Linked DNA regions of Styela clava. The protein of the gene in region 1 binds, or shares a complex with, the protein of each later gene. Links are inferred from orthologs where the notes say so. Each region holds a gene or a part of one and is shown on either strand. Other genes may lie near its edges. The genes, in order: THO complex subunit 1-like and THO complex subunit 7 homolog.

Region 1 (8,178 bases):
TTCTGAATGAATTATTTCAAACACTAAACATATTCTGAACTTTACCATAGATAACTGTGCATGGATTTATTGTTTGAAAAAGGCACTGACTGAAAAGGATAGTGACATCATATTTATGAAAACAATAAATTAGAATTTATTGGTGCTGAAAAAAGTTGCTGTTGTTTTATTTTAGTAATAGCAAATCACTTGAAATATACACGAATCAATAAGAAAACAATCAGCTATTATTCAATATTGACCTGCAGTATAAAACTGTGAAGATTTCCATGTTGCTACTCTCTCTTCAATAAAGCAAAACACTGGGTCACATGTGTCAAGAGTAAGGCAATCTAACAAATCTCCTAGAAGGCTGAATGGTAGACTTGCCGAACACATACCTAAAACAGAATCAATTTTATAATAGGTTTGTTTAAAAAAACTTAAATGCAGTCCTCTTGATAAGTTGTAGAAAAGCTGATTTCGGATTGTAATTTGGATTGCTAATTCCTCAAAAAAAGAGAAATGAAAATAACTTAACTGACATTATTGAATATTGAATGAAACTTGGATAGACAGGGTTATCTAATTCAAACCACCGAAAGTCAGTGCCACACGCCAGACTAACTTGAATTCAAATAGTGTTGTAGTAAAAAATTGTAATGAATGAGGTGGCCTAATGGTTAAAGTGTTAGACTTAACTATGATGGCATAGCAGGTTAAATCTCAAATCAAATCCTATGCAGACCAACTCGCCCAAAGTAATGAATTGGGTAAGAAATAGCAAACAGGAAAGATTCCGATCCTTCCAAACTATAGTACAGTAGAGCACAGTTTTACGATTCCAAGATGTCCTGACATTAAACACTCTATTCGTCGCTGAAACGTGGGCGACTGGCATGACAGCAGATGCGTTAAATCGCGCCAAGCTTGTCTTGGTAATAATTTTAACCAATTAGACACGTTTGTCACATGACCAAAATTGTGTTTTTTTGCTAAAAACTCTTGAATGGTACAGTAAATTTTTTTCCGTTTGTAAATTAGATTATTTTTTTCAGAGGAATCCAATTATGATGTTTTTAGATACGCTTCCTTTCAGTTTATTGCGGAACGCCAGTTTACTGTTTTGAGTCGATATGGAGGCCCAGACTGCCTCGTGAAGGCGGGGCACTCACTGTTATACCCGATGTCTCTAAATGTGGGCGATATTTATGGAATCGGAAAACTGTGCCTTTCTGTAGTATCACCTTACCAAGCAGGGGTTCCTTGAGCAGAGTATTGTACAAAGCAAAAGATGTATTGAAACATCATATAAAAAATTTGTGTTATACAGAATAGAACCTTGTTTAGCAGCAACAACAGTGAGTGAAATAACTTTCAATGCATCATTTGCCATTTCTTTATCCCCATGAATTTCTTTTATTGTCTCCTGAATGAGATTGGATACTGTAATACGAAATGCTTGATCTGCTGCCAATCGTTTATCTGCTTCAGTGCCAGAGATAGTTTGAAAAACACTTTTTATTGAAACAATAGAATCAATCTTTCCACTTGATAAATCTTCGAAAATTTCATTCTGCATAAACAAATATAAAGCGTTCACAGCCGTTCAGTAACAGTTTCATATCAGCATAATATTGAGAAGTTGAATAGAAAAATATTAACAAAACTGAAACATTCAAAACATCTTTATGCTGCAATTTCCAATGAGTTTACTTAAAAATGAGTAGTTTCAAAATTACAGAATTAATAAGGTATAAGACGTCTCAAAAAAAGAACTTCGCAAATAATAAGTAACACCATAACAAATTTTTCAAAATTCGATCAGGTTAGTTTTATGTGGTGAGTTGATAGGCCATACCTGTTGTTGAGAGCAATGGTACTGCATAATTTTACAATAAGGAAAGATTCTCCAATTCCAAGATGTCCTGACATTTGGTTCAATAAAACAAACACTCAATTTGAACACTCTGAAACGAGAGCATCTATCATGATGGAAGACGCGTCAGATCGCGCCATGCTTGCCTCAATCATAATCTTACAGGTAGGCTACTTAAACCTGACACGCGTCGGCGGGCACACGACCAAAAGTGCTATTTTTTGCTAAAAACCCTGGAATGTTTGATGACATCCCATTTAATTAAACAATTATTTTTTGCCTGTAATAAATAGTTCAGAGCGTTCCCCTTCACCCAATCATTGAAACATCTACTCACGGTTTTATTTTTTGTTTTTCAGGTTACTTCAAAGTGATTAAATGAAGTAAAACACATAGGGAAAAATCAAAAAAAGACTCCGATATCCTGTGAAATAACAACCTTATTCCTATATCCTTGTCTGAAATCAATACCCAAGAATGAAAAACCTCACTTACACCCTTTGTAACCAATTTATTTCCACATCCTACTTTACTTAATTATTGTAATTTTACTGTTACCGGTAACTTTAATTACTTATTACAATCTGGACTATAATTTGGCAATAATACTGTAATAGGCTCTAATTTGGGGAATGAAATGGTCTCGCCCACCTCTTCATGCACCCAATTCTGGCAACTTTGGTTGGGCAACTTGGCATTTGACTCCAACTATAATCAGCTTGGCAATATGTTTTCAATAGAATCTTCCTTTTATATCTTAATTAACGATTAGAAGATCGATCAATTTGGCAATGGCAACCATTACAAAAATATCAATATGGTGTGGCAGAAAATTTTTTTCTTTTCTAGTATTTATTTATTTATTTTTGTTTACTGTATAGTATACCGAATACCCTAAATTTATCTCGTTTTATTCATACTTAAATAACTTCTCAGTGGTTGTGTGTGTGGCTGGTGGGTGCATGTGAGCGTGTGTGAAATGACTAATAAAATTCTGCAATTTGTTTATAAATGACCGCATGATCATAGTCAACAAGCTGACAATAAGACTGACTTACCTTGAAAGAGGACAATGCATCCTGGAATACAAAATCAGAGGCCATTGCAAAAAAAAGCTTCCTAAGTCTGTAGGCCAAAATGAGTCGGAATTATATAGGTGAGAAGATCTCTACAAAATTATAAAACAGCCCAACACCACTGTGGAGCTAGCAGCGAAACACGAAGAAAATTTCTCGAATTTTGACCCCGGATATTTTTCTGACTTTTGACCCCAAAAAGAAAGTTTTTTTTTTTCAACTTTCGTTGAACAATTTTTTCAATATCCACTTATTTTTGTACCTCTTCACAATATTATTTGCATTGATGTTATTCTTCGTTTAAATATATTTGGTAGTTAACCACCGTGTTTCCCCGAAAATAAGACAGTGTCTTATTCAATTTTCTTTTTTTTTTCTTTTCAGGGGATGTCTTTTATTTTCATTCATCAAAAACAGAATTACAAAGTAGAGAATCACGAGATTTTTAAATATAAAAAATATACAAATCGATATCAATTTACTTAAATAACACGTTTTCCTCTCCCATACGTTTTAGACTGATCATTTAAAACGTGCTGGAGAGATTTCTTGATATATAGGTCAAAAAAAATTTGCGTTATCTACAAGGACTCAGTGGTTCTCAACCGGGGGCCGGTGGCCCCCCAAAGGGGCCACGGAGCAGCTCAAGGGGGGCCACGACACGAGTTTAATAATTGATTAAAAAGCGACTTCGTTTGCATACTTTCCCTTTAAAAGTAAATTCCCGTTGCCTCAGTTTCATTATCTGAATAGGTAATTTCAGGTCACAGGGTGTATTCACTTTCTTGTGCGTGAATTGTTTGATCATAATGGAATTAGGAATCTATCAATCAAAATAGTTCGTTGGTAAGCAGTCTAACCTGCAGACTGGTTTCACTATGGACCTTTCCCCGACCTTTGACCCACGAAAAATTCTTCCTGTACTTCATCATTGCAAAATTTTCGGGGCTTATTTTAAGAGTGGTTTCGCGAGTTGGCGCCTGTAAAATCGGTATAGGTTTCAAACATAGGTTCAACAAAGGTTTATGATTCATCGCATACAACAATCTGTTTTTTAAAAGTACCGGTAAAGAATTTTAGCCCAGTCTATCACAGCTATTTCTACAGGAATTTTTAATTCCTGTCTGAGTGAGAAAAGTGTCTGAGCGGATGCGAAAAGGGAGCATTGTTACGTCACTTTTTGCATTTTGCCGATTGGCCAATGTCACGAAGTAAACAAGGAAGTCGATGCTCGGGGAAAGGTCCATGGTGAGAGATAACTGTCGGTATCGTATTTTAGACTCAGAATCCTATATTTCTAATGCCCAAAATACGAAAATGGAACGACAGTTACGTTGGCTTTGGCTTTACCAAAGTAAATGACACAAAATGTGCGCAAGTCCTGCATTTCTCGTATGTAATGAGCAATAAATCATTACGTCCATCTAAACTCCAAAACCACCGTGACAAAAATTATCCCAAGATAAAAGCTGTTTATATAAATGATATCGGTGCTTGGCTGCCAAGTGAATTAAATTCGACAAGAAAGCAACATTGACTATGCCAAGTACCACTATTGCATGTAAAAAGTATTTCAAACATATTTGCACTGATCTTGCTACCATGAAAACAAAATTTAGAAACCGTCTTGATGTTGACAGTGACATTCGTCTGGCTATATCACAGACGGTGCCTAATATAAGGAACCTAGTCAGACAGTCCCAAGCACAAGATTCCCATTGATTGTTTACTGAAAAGCTTTGACTTTCTTGACTGTGGTTTGTTTTTGCATTTCATAAAAGGTCGTAAATACATAATACCATCCAACGCGTCTAGTTTTTTAAAATGGGGAACAGGGGGGCCACGAGTGCGAAAAGCCAACGGAAGGGGGCCACGAGCCATAAAAGGTTGAGAACCACTGTACTAGGTCTTATTTTAAGTGGAGGGCTTATATTAAAATCATTCTTAAAATTCCGGCTAGGTCTCATTTTCAGGGTAGGTCTTATTTTCGGGGAAACACGGTAGTCGACGGTTATTTTTTATTTCGTTCTCAAAAATCATACGGCTGGGATGGGTGGTAGCTGCCTTTGATGACCTCCCAGTCGATACCTGAATAAATGCTGTGTAATTTATCATTTTAATATTTATTTGTATTGTGGTTGACAAAAATATTGAATTCGCTTCCTCTCTCTCAGATAAATTCTTTTCATACATACCCTGAGAATTTTATAATTGGAATAATCTCTTATTGGACACGTCAGTGTACATAACGATCGTTTCAATATTATGTTGTTGTTTTTGGTATTTTCTCCTTCGTCATGATAAAATCGCTTTTCTCTTCGAATACTGGACCAATTGCTTTGAAATTTTCATTTTTTTAAGATTGATTTTTTTGCCATAAGGTTATTACTTTTTTTTAGTCCTAAATTTTCTATGAACCCTATGGGATCCAATATTTCATTCAAATATTCGCTGTATCACTTTTCAATCGTGGGAACACGGATTTTAATCCGCCAAGCGTGACGACCGATTCCGAAAATTCTCGCTACTCGAAACTCGGAAGTTTTTTGAGGTTACCGGTACCAGCAATGATAAAGATAAGGTAAGGTAAACTACTGCAGTACTGCTTCGCTTGGTGTCAAAATAGGCGTAGACTGGGGTATCTGCTGTGACGTGTCCATATATTTGAGCATAGCTCTCTTGTACTTATAAGACTGGTTTTGCAAGTTGGCACCTACGAACTAGTTTACATTTTTCAACGCATCATTTTGATTCGAAATATTCAATCAATTTGAAAGTACCAACTAATACTAATATCAAGTCCATGCTTCCGAAAACAAATACCTGGCTAACTAATCCCATACCTGACCTGAAAGCGTTAGGAATACGCTTGGCACCGCTCCTCTGATCAGGGTACCCTTTGTGGGTTCGCAAGTTCGAATCCCGTGGCAGATAAATATGTGCGATAGGGTTTACTGGACTCGTCGCCGCCGTAGGGTGGTCACGTAACTGCTGGTCGGTTACGGCTTCCCGTATCATGAAGTCCATTGCGACACAAAGGTTAAGGCTCGACAACTTCGATTAGATGCAGTTTCTATCTCTAGTGATGCTTTATTTAATATTATCGAAATTGCAGATTAAATTGATCACGACCCAATTAATGAAGCAGCCCATTTTAAATATGGCCATATCGGCCATGGATTGAATATTTTATGCAACAGAAAAGTCTTTACATATTCGTTGAAAAAGCCGGCTCTTTTAACGAGTGGCGTAATCGCGACGACCTGTTCAGAAGCCGTTTCTTGGGGACTTCAAGGCGGAGAAGATGTATTTTTGATAAATATACTCGATATGTATTTTATTGTTCCTGATTAAATTTTACTTTCTGGGATTTTATAGCAGATCTTGGGATTTTTCTAACGACGATAACGAATTCGCAAGAGCGCAAAAATCTATATCAAAACTAAACATATTCGGTCAGTTTATAACATATATAATTTATAATAATTGGTAAATGGATGTGATGTCACCGTATATTGCTATATCGTAGACCGTCTCAGAACTGCCAATCGCCCGTTCACCCTTCAGCTTCAATGCCCACGTTAATGAAGACTTTAGAAAACTCTGTTTGATTTTATTCTCAGATTTCCACGACACACAGAATACAAATCTTAAAACATTTATCCACACTAGCTTTTCATTGAAAGATATCGAGTCGTATTTATACGTCGATCATAAATCTAATTAAATGCTGTAAACGTGAGCTCGTGATTCACGTTATAAACAGAAACTCCTATTATCTCAATAAGAGTAAATATGTACATCGTACGGATGGGAACTTAGATATAATTATTTCAATCAGTGCCAAAGGTCTTGAGAATATAAATTTTAATTTGATAATGACTGGGTGGAACATGTTATGTTCTTAAAAATGGTGTAATTTGATTCCTACGAAAGTCTTTGTTCGAATTTTGGGAAAAATTAACTTTGTTTTGATGATTTAAACATGAAATGGGTACATTTGGGGGGGGGGGGGTAGTTGCTATAAGTTGACCTCACATCATTGTGTGCAGTGGGATTTTAGATTAGTAATGTTGTCGTAAGTCGTCTAAACCGCTAGTTACTTACGGTTGAACACAATAAAATTAAAATAGAAAAACATTTTAAATTTTCGTAGTTTTCATGGATTGAATATTACGCGACAGAAAAAGTCATTATATATTATATGACTATTTTAACGATCGCGCAATCGCGGCGACCATTTCAGAAGCCGTTGCATGGAAATTCACAATTCCGATTTTAAAATCCCCCTTTTGAAAATCCTGGCTGCGCCCCTGCCCGTACCCGATAGCTGTTACGGTGTAATTTGGCAATTAAAAATTTGAGAACCCCCCTTTGAAAATTTGTTTTCTACGTCCTCGTCCCTGATTTACATGTTCTTCGTATTTACGGAAAATGTTAACTATTGAGCAACATTAAATATAACTTTGGTGTCAGCGTGTCATCAGTAATATCCGACTCGGTTTTGGCATAACTATTTGTTTAGAGCTGTCGTCTAACTCTAATATCATATATTTTCGAAACTATAGATAAATTCATGTTATGGAATTTATTTCTTAAACTGTTTAAATCGGAGGAGGTAATGTCAAAGTTGAGTCAAATATCACTCGTGAACAAATATAAAATTATTGCTTAATTCCAACAAGGATCACCGCTCGTAAAATTTTTTATCAGACGAATCGGCTGCCTCTTTGAATTAAATTTGTTTCTACGAGGTGTGGCTAAAATGAAACGGGATTGTCGTCACAGATTGCGCAACATGATTTACCACCGGTAATCAGCACTTTTACAGTGTGGCGTAATATGTGTTCTTTGTTTAACAGCTGTTTTGACACAATAGCGCAATTATTTTTGCTTTTTAGGAGCCATAGGTGAATGTGATTAATTGCTTGTTGAAAAAAAAATTGCTTTGCGAGATCTGATTGAGTTTTTTGGCGATAGGGGATTCAATTGCAGAATGACGATTGAGCGAAGAATTAACATTAAATTTTGTGTCAAACTCGGGAAAAACGGCGAATGAGACTTTGAAGATGTTGCGTGATGTTTATGGAGATTTTTCCATGTCCAGAACAAGAGTTTTTAAATGGCACAAGCGATTTGTGGCAGGCAGGGAAGATGTTGAGAATGATCCAAAGTCAGGAAGGCCCTGCACTTCCACAACTGATACCAAAACATCAAAAAGGTTCGGCAGTTGGTTCGCAGTGA
Region 2 (7,628 bases), on another chromosome or scaffold:
TTGCTTTTTCCAAATCATTCTTACATTTCTCTATCTCATGATGTGCCAGTTCAACATTGTTGTCAATGTCGTTCTTATATTTGTACAAAACATTGAATACAACATATTATGGATCAATAAGCCAATTAAATCTCAGATATATATTTACATATAGTTTTATAATTTTTCTATGCTCAATACAAAATCCCGATCTCCATACGAAAACTGGAGAAGGTACTTATAAAACAGTTGCAAGAAACTACTGCAGTTGCATAGCTAGGCTTCTATCAAGACAACTGCTTTTGCCTAAGGGACAAAGTGTAAGTTCTAGGGGGAAAATATCATTTTTTATTGTCAACATAACTAGTTGACCATGATTATCGATAAAGACACTTATAACAAATAATAAGTCCATCAGACACTCACATAGTTGCTTAAATTGTGCAATAAATTCGTTGTTAACAATATTACATAGTGAATATAATCATTTCTGTTTTATTAATAAGAAGATGCTACCCATTGTGCTTGTTTTGTCACAACAGGGGAAATTCACAAGTTTAAATACCAATATCATAAGATTGATCAATCAAGCCTTTGTATTGTCTTCCCTCTCCCTAAAATCATAGTCGAATACCTGTATTTTTTCATACTTTCTCATCTGCTTTTTATTCATTTCATGAACATAAGTTGCCCTCGTCATTGCAAATTCACTTTGAGATAGAATTGATAGCATTCTTTGTAGTGTCTGACTGAATAAAAACCAGTAGTATAAATTTTGCAGTTTATTATATTTAGGCCAATTTTACCAGGAACTGTGATAACAGCATCTTGTTATTTGCATCTCACTGTTTTCTTTATTAATTGATATGTGTTTTGAAATCGAATGTCATAATACTTTTTTTACTTTCGGTGTAAAGCTTTTTGATTTCTAGTTTTGAGTAATTTTATGTATACTATAAGAAATCCATTATAAAACCACATTTTTATAAGACACTACTCTCAAATATCTTTTCTTTTTCAGAAATCCATTCTATATTCAACTCTTACTGTCTTAGTAGTTAGTACATATCTCTTACTGATCAGTTTCTGAAGATTCAGTATTGCACCATTTCATAAAGAGTTTCATCAAAGTAGTGAATCTTCTTTCATCCCCGCCTCCATCTCCATCTATCAGGAGACGCTTTCGAATTACTTCATCTAAAAAAAAATATTATTGCTTGAAATCTGAAGCAGAGAAAGTGGTACAGGATGAATTTTTACATTTATTCGGAATAAGTTCTGAAAGTAGATACGACAGTAAGTTGCCGTCATCATATCAACCAGTTGATAGTCTCTCATTCAATTATCTGCTCTGACATAGTATGAGAATAGTGAACTCGGTTGATCATATCAAGTCACAACTATGTCTTCCTCTTACAGTCTTAATATGACATCCCACCTACCAATAAAACATACCGGTATCAATGGGTCTTAAAAGAGTTAATTAAAGTCGTTGAGACATATTTCAGTATTCGACAAAGAATTCAAAATTAAGGGGTAAAAATTTTCATTATACTTTATATAGTCAGTTATGTAGCATAGGATAGGTACGGTACCCCTTTGAAATCTCCCATCTAAAAGCCAAAAATTGAGTGAAGAATAATGCAGTAATGTAAGTCTGTATGTGGGTCTGGTATAGTTTAGTACCGGTACCACATGTACTTCTAGTTGGCCTGACTCAACAATTTTTGCATATGTCAATCCTAACCCCCACCCAACTACGTCACCGAAAAAATACGTCATTTCGACATCACAGTGGCGTAATAAGGCCCACCAAAGTATGCGGCTGGTCGTCCAAAACGTGCAGACGATCATCCGAAATCGAGCAAGCTATTTCTCTCGTTTTCGCGTCACAACAATCACGATGGGAGTGAGATGCCATTTCGGGCGATCGTAATTATACTTTGGCAAGCCATATGACGTGATGGTGACGTAATTTTTGGATGGCATAGTCAGGTGGGGGTTAGGAATAACATATACAAAATTCGTTATGCTACCCCCACTGCAAGTACTTGTGGCACTAAACTAAACTATTTTTTGTTTTTCAGGTTACTTCAAAGTGATTAAATGAAGTAAAACACATAAGGAAAAAATCAAACAAAGACTCCGATATCCTGTGAAATAACAATCTTATTCCTATATCCTTGTCTGAAATCAATACCCAAGAATGAAAAACCTCACTTACACCCTTTGTAACCAATTTTTTTCCATATCCAACTTTAGTTAATTATAGTAATTTTACTGTTCCAGTAACTTTAATTACTTATCACAATCTGGACTATAATTTGGCAATAATAGGCTCTAATTTGGGGAATGGAATGGTCTCGCCCACCTCTTCATGCACCCAATTCTGGCAACTTTGGTTGGGCAACTTGGCATTTGACTCCAACTATACCGGTACCTAATCAGCTTGGCAATATGTTTTCAATAGAATCTTCCTTTTATATTTTAATTAACGATTGGAAGATCGATCAATTTGGCATTGGCAACCATTACAAAATTATCAATATGGTGTGGCAAATAATTTTTTTTCTTTTCTAGTATTTATTTATATTTTTTTGTTTACTGTATAGTACCGTATACCCTAAATTTATCGTGTTTTATTTTCACTTAAATAACTTCTCAGTGGTTGGGTGTGTGTGTGGCTGGTGGGTGCATGTGAGTGTGTGTGAAATAACTTAATAATTTTAGGTGAGTAAACACGTACCACTTCCTCTTGGCAAAACCTTCCATCTTATATTTTGTACGTTATAAAACCCTACCTATCTAAGGTTTCGTTTGCTCCCCTGATTTCATAATCAGTTTTTATTTATTTGTTTTTATCCGTCAAATGTATTGTTATGCTGATTATGGAGTCGAAATAAACTTATACTAGACCCTCAATTTCGTACCGGTACCGGTATAGATTGCAAATGTTCGGGCATTTCTGCTTACCATCCGTAGCCATTATCCTCTGATCCAGTTAATGAGTTATTTAATAACCGTTGAACCTTGATGACGTCTTGTTGAAAATATCCAGAATATTTGGCTGCCTTGCACCAGCGGTTCTGCGACTGTAGGGTACCGTACGACAGCACGCGTGCAAAAGTATTGTCAGAGAGTAACGCTGCAAACTGACAAACAGCAACCACTGTGAAGCTAGTAGCAATTTGACTTTTGTGTGCGGCGAAGCGGAAAGGTGAATATTGGCAGCAGAAATGAAGGAGTGTCATAATCTACATCCGAAAAAATGTAGAAAAACGAATTTAGAATACGATCAATGGGAAGATACTAATCATTTACGATAAATTAACATCTACAAAGCAAAAAATAACAATAAATTACATGATAAACAATGAAAAAACAATAAAAATGACACGAATTTTATTTAACTTCCTTCGAAATAGCAGATGAGCAATTCCTAAATCAAGTCAAGTTGTACAGTAAACAAAACTAAGGAGATGGATGACGAGTTTAAAAAATGGGGAGTCAGCGTACCCCCATAGGAGAACATAAGCCTTCCAAATTTTAAAACCTAGGGTATTCTCATAGCTAAAAAACGTCCTTATTCGGAAAATTACCTATAGCTAAAAAAGCTGATTTAGTCAAATTTCAAAGCCTAGCAGCACATCCTTCCGCCCAAGAGGCATCCGATTTGATTATTTATTATTAAAGAGGTTTATCTGAAGTTATTTACACAACTCGAACCTAAGTCATGTTTTTATTAGAATCTAGGGTATTATCGAAGCGAAAATGGCCTATTTTTGAAAAATTGCGTATAGCGAAAAAAGCTGATTTAGCCAAATTTCAAAGCCTAGCAGCACGCCCTTCCGCCCAAGAGGCATCCGATTTGATTATTTATTATTAAAGATGTTTATCTGAAGTTTTTCACACATCTTGAACCTAAGCCTTGTTTTTATTAGAATTTAGGGTATTATCGAAGCGAAAATGGCCTTATTTGGAAAAATTACTTATAGCGAAAAAAGCTGATTTAGCCAAATTTCAAAGCCTAGCAGCACACCCTTCCGCCCAAGAGGCATCCGATTTGATTATTTATTATTAAAGAGGTTTATCTGAAGTTTTTCACACAACTCGAACCTAAGCCTTGTTTTTATTAGAATCTAGGGTATTATCGAAGCGAAAATGGCCCATTTTGGAAAAATTACGTATAGCGAAAAAATCTGATTTAACCAAATTTCAAAGCCTAGCAGCACACCCTTCCGCCCAAGAGGCATCCGATTTGATTATTTATTATTAAAGAGGTTTATCTGAAGTTTTTCACACAACTCGAACCTAAGCCTTGTTTTTATTAGAATCTAGGGTATTATCGAAGCGAAAATGGCCTTATTTGGAAAAATTACTTATAGTCAAAAAAGCTGATTTAGCCAAATTTCAAAGCCTAGCAGCACATCCTTCCGCCCAAGAGGCATCCGATTTGATTATTTATTATTAAAGAGGTTTATCTGAAGTTTTTCACACAACTCGAACCTAAGCCTTGTTTTTATTAGAATCTAGGGTATTATCGAAGCGAAAATGGCCCATTTTTGAAAAATTACGTATAGCGAAAAAAGCTGATTCAACCAAATTTCAAAGCCTAGCAGCACACCCTTCCGCCCAAGAGGCATCCGATTTGATTGTTTATTATTAAAGAGGTTTATCTGAAGTTTTTCACACAACTCGAACCTAAGCCTTGTTTTTATTAGAATCTAGGGTATTATCGAAGCGAAAATGGCCCATTTTGAAAAAATTACGTATAGCGAAAAAAGCTGATTCAATCAAATTTCAAAGCCTAGCAGCACACCCTTCCGCCCAAGAGGCATCCGATTTCATTATTTATTATTAAAGATGTTTATCTGAAGTTTTTCACACAGTTCGAACCTAAGCCTTGTTTTTTATTAGAATCTAGGGTATTATCGAAGCGAAAATGGCCCATTTTTGAAAAATTACGTATAGCGAAAAAAGCCGATTTAACCAAATTTCAAAGCCTAGCAGCACACCCTTCCGCCCAAGAGGCATCCGATTTGATTATTTATTATTAAAGAGGTTTATCTGAAGTTTTTCACACAACACGAACCTAAGCCTTGTTTTTATTAGAATCTAGGGTATTATCGAAGCGAAAATGGCCCATTTTTGAAAAATTACGTATAGCGAAAAAAGCTGATTTAACCAAATTTCAATGCCTAGCAGCACACCCTTCCGCCCAAGAGGCATCCGATTTGATTATTTATTATTAACGAGGTTTATCTGAAGTTTTTCACACATCTTGAACCTAAGCCTTGTTTTTATTAGAATTTAGGGTATTATCGAAGCGAAAATGGCCTTATTTGGAAAAATTACTTATAGCGAAAAAAGCTGATTTAGCCAAATTTCAAAGCCTAGCAGCACACCCTTCCGCCCAAGAGGCATCCGATTTGATTATTTATTATTAAAGAGGTTTATCTGAAGTTTTTCACACAACTCGAACCTAAGCCTTGTTTTTATTAGAATCTAGGATATTATCGAAGCGAAAATGGCCCATTTTTGAAAAATTACGTATAGCGAAAAAAGCTGATTAACCAAATTTCAAAGCCTAGCAGCACACCCTTCCGCCCAAGAGGCATACGATTTGATTATTTATTATTAAAGAGGTTTATCTGAAGTTTTTCACACAACACGAACCTAAGCCTTGTTTTTATTAGAATCTAGGGTATTATCGAAGCGAAAATGGCCTTATTTGGAAAAATTACTTATAGCGAAAAACATTAACATTAATTTACAACGAGTTACGGGTAAAAATTAACCGACGGCTATCACTAACAGGTAGAAACGTTTTCGCAAAAAGCGCATCATCACCGTTTTTGTAAATTTAGAAACGTCGAAACAGATAAGTAAGACAAGTGAACATAGTATTTTGTGGAAATTTCTTGAGGTATTGGGGAGAAATATTATTTTGACCATGTAGAAATGTCATTATTGCCTATTTATTCACGTGTTTAGTATCAGTGTTTTAACCCAAACCCAAATCTGAGTTACGTGAATACTGAACATTGAGTATTCTAAAGATTACCAATTTGCGTTTATTGATTATTATTTAATACGAAAGTAACACGGACACGATCTAAAATTAAAAGCATAGAAATGTGAACAATACGCCTCACAAATATCGCATCCCGGGGTCAGTAATAATAATATTGTTGGTCTAAAATTGGGACCGTTATTTACAAATTGTGTTGCAAATCTTACACAGAATATAAAAATCACAATAAAATTAATTTGTGTTGTAAATGCACTCCTCAATAGTTGTCTTTAACATCTTCGCCGATGTGAACTCAGAATTCTGTCCGAAATATAAAAACCAAACTACGATCATTAATGTTTGCTAGTGAATAATAAAGTGCTTTGATATAGTTTAACAATATTAATTGGAATGTCAGCCTCCGAAACGATCGTGGTGACAACATTTACTGCAGCCTTCGATTATGACAAAATTATGAAATAAAAAAGCAGCATTGTTATGGAGTTTTCAGCCATCTAGTAAAATCCGAAAAAGAAAAAAAAATTATTGCCACAGCATCGTTTCGGCGGCCTATATCCCAATTAGTGTTGTTTAAAATGACAATATTCATTATTCGGTGTTTGTTAAAAATATTCGAATAACTCAATATAAAAAATACGATTGTGCCCGCCACTCATCATGGCGCATGTAAATAATCAATGAATGGCAATAAAAAATCAACTTCATTAACATTAAATTCCAAGTATTAGTTTCACATTTCATGAATTTGATCGACGATACATGCGAACGTGTTTTTGTACATATAAACACTTATGACGCTACTGACATCTGCGAGTTATAGTTCTCTCCAAAATTTATTTTTCGCGATTTTTAAGGTTTTATTTCTAAATGCGGGTATCCGCGGACTACGGATTAATGGTCCATGTTTGAAATAGGACTTGCAAAATATTCACCAAACACCGCCAGGCAAGGAGAGGCGGGCTACACGTAACTGTGGAATTTCGCTGTGAACAATGTATACTTTTTAGTTTATTAACTCTTCCAGACCCTGGAGATTAACCCTAGGGCTTACATTGCACTACCTTTCATTCTCAAAATATTCCAACTGATTCGCCGATTTTAAACGCCAAACTAACGGAGATTTTCACTTCAACGAAAATTGAGCAAAATTTGTAGAAAAGTCTTGAACGTAACAATTAGTGTGTCTAGTAGAGGGTTAATAACTATTCCTAATTAAATATTTTTTATTTAATTTAACTGTAACCCCCGTTGAAAAATCCTGGCTGTGCCCCAGATCGTATGCTTTTACCCCAAAATTCAATAACAATGTTGAGATTTTGCGTATTCAACTTATGATCCATTTAAATAATTTCATAAACTTCAGTGAATTTCTATTCAACAGCCAAAATGTACTCTTCCCCGAACAACTCACTGCTATAGCTTGAGAATAACTATCCAAATCTATACTTTCGAAATGTTTGCTTCTTCCCATCATAGAATTGGTGGTACATTTATTCTTTGAGGTAGATAGGCTGAAAAGTTTCAATAGATTACACCTCTGTGATTACTTGTCAAAGATTTTAAAACTTAGAATTCACCACTCTCATAATCGTATTTAAAATGTTGAGACTACATA

The links.
Region 2: the proteins of THO complex subunit 1-like (region 1) and THO complex subunit 7 homolog are in contact, whole or in part, in a cryo-EM structure (PDB 7APK), measured with the Homo sapiens proteins. The link is inferred for Styela clava from reciprocal best matches to the Homo sapiens genes THOC1 and THOC7. Residues at the interface, in NP_005122.2 of Homo sapiens: Leu10, Arg14, Glu46, Gln53, Arg56, Glu60, Ile63, Ile64, Asp99, Asp102, Cys103, Leu104, Pro105, Arg146, Gln151; in NP_079351.2 of Homo sapiens: Tyr47, Gln51, Leu54, Ser55, Ser58, Gln59, Phe62, Gly65, Lys66, Leu69, Val70, Met73, Arg76, Glu77, Asn80, Ile84, Ile88.

Annotation. Positions count from the first base shown.
Region 1 is NC_135252.1:8,700,959-8,709,136, reverse strand, and holds the start of THO complex subunit 1-like, read right to left. Parts: upstream 3,181-8,178; 5' UTR 2,962-3,180; coding exon 2,917-2,961; intron 2,082-2,916; exon of another isoform or gene 1,868-2,081; coding exon of another isoform or gene 1,841-1,867; intron 1,556-1,840; coding exon 1,321-1,555; intron 381-1,320; coding exon 243-380; intron 1-242. UniProt on the Homo sapiens protein: Component of the THO subcomplex of the TREX complex which is thought to couple mRNA transcription, processing and nuclear export, and which specifically associates with spliced mRNA and not with unspliced pre-mRNA.
Region 2 is NC_135258.1:15,197,981-15,205,608, forward strand, and holds the start of THO complex subunit 7 homolog, read right to left. Parts: upstream 3,144-7,628; 5' UTR 2,966-3,143; coding exon 2,953-2,965; intron 1,177-2,952; coding exon 1,056-1,176; intron 729-1,055; coding exon 614-728; intron 74-613; coding exon 1-73. UniProt on the Homo sapiens protein: Component of the THO subcomplex of the TREX complex which is thought to couple mRNA transcription, processing and nuclear export, and which specifically associates with spliced mRNA and not with unspliced pre-mRNA.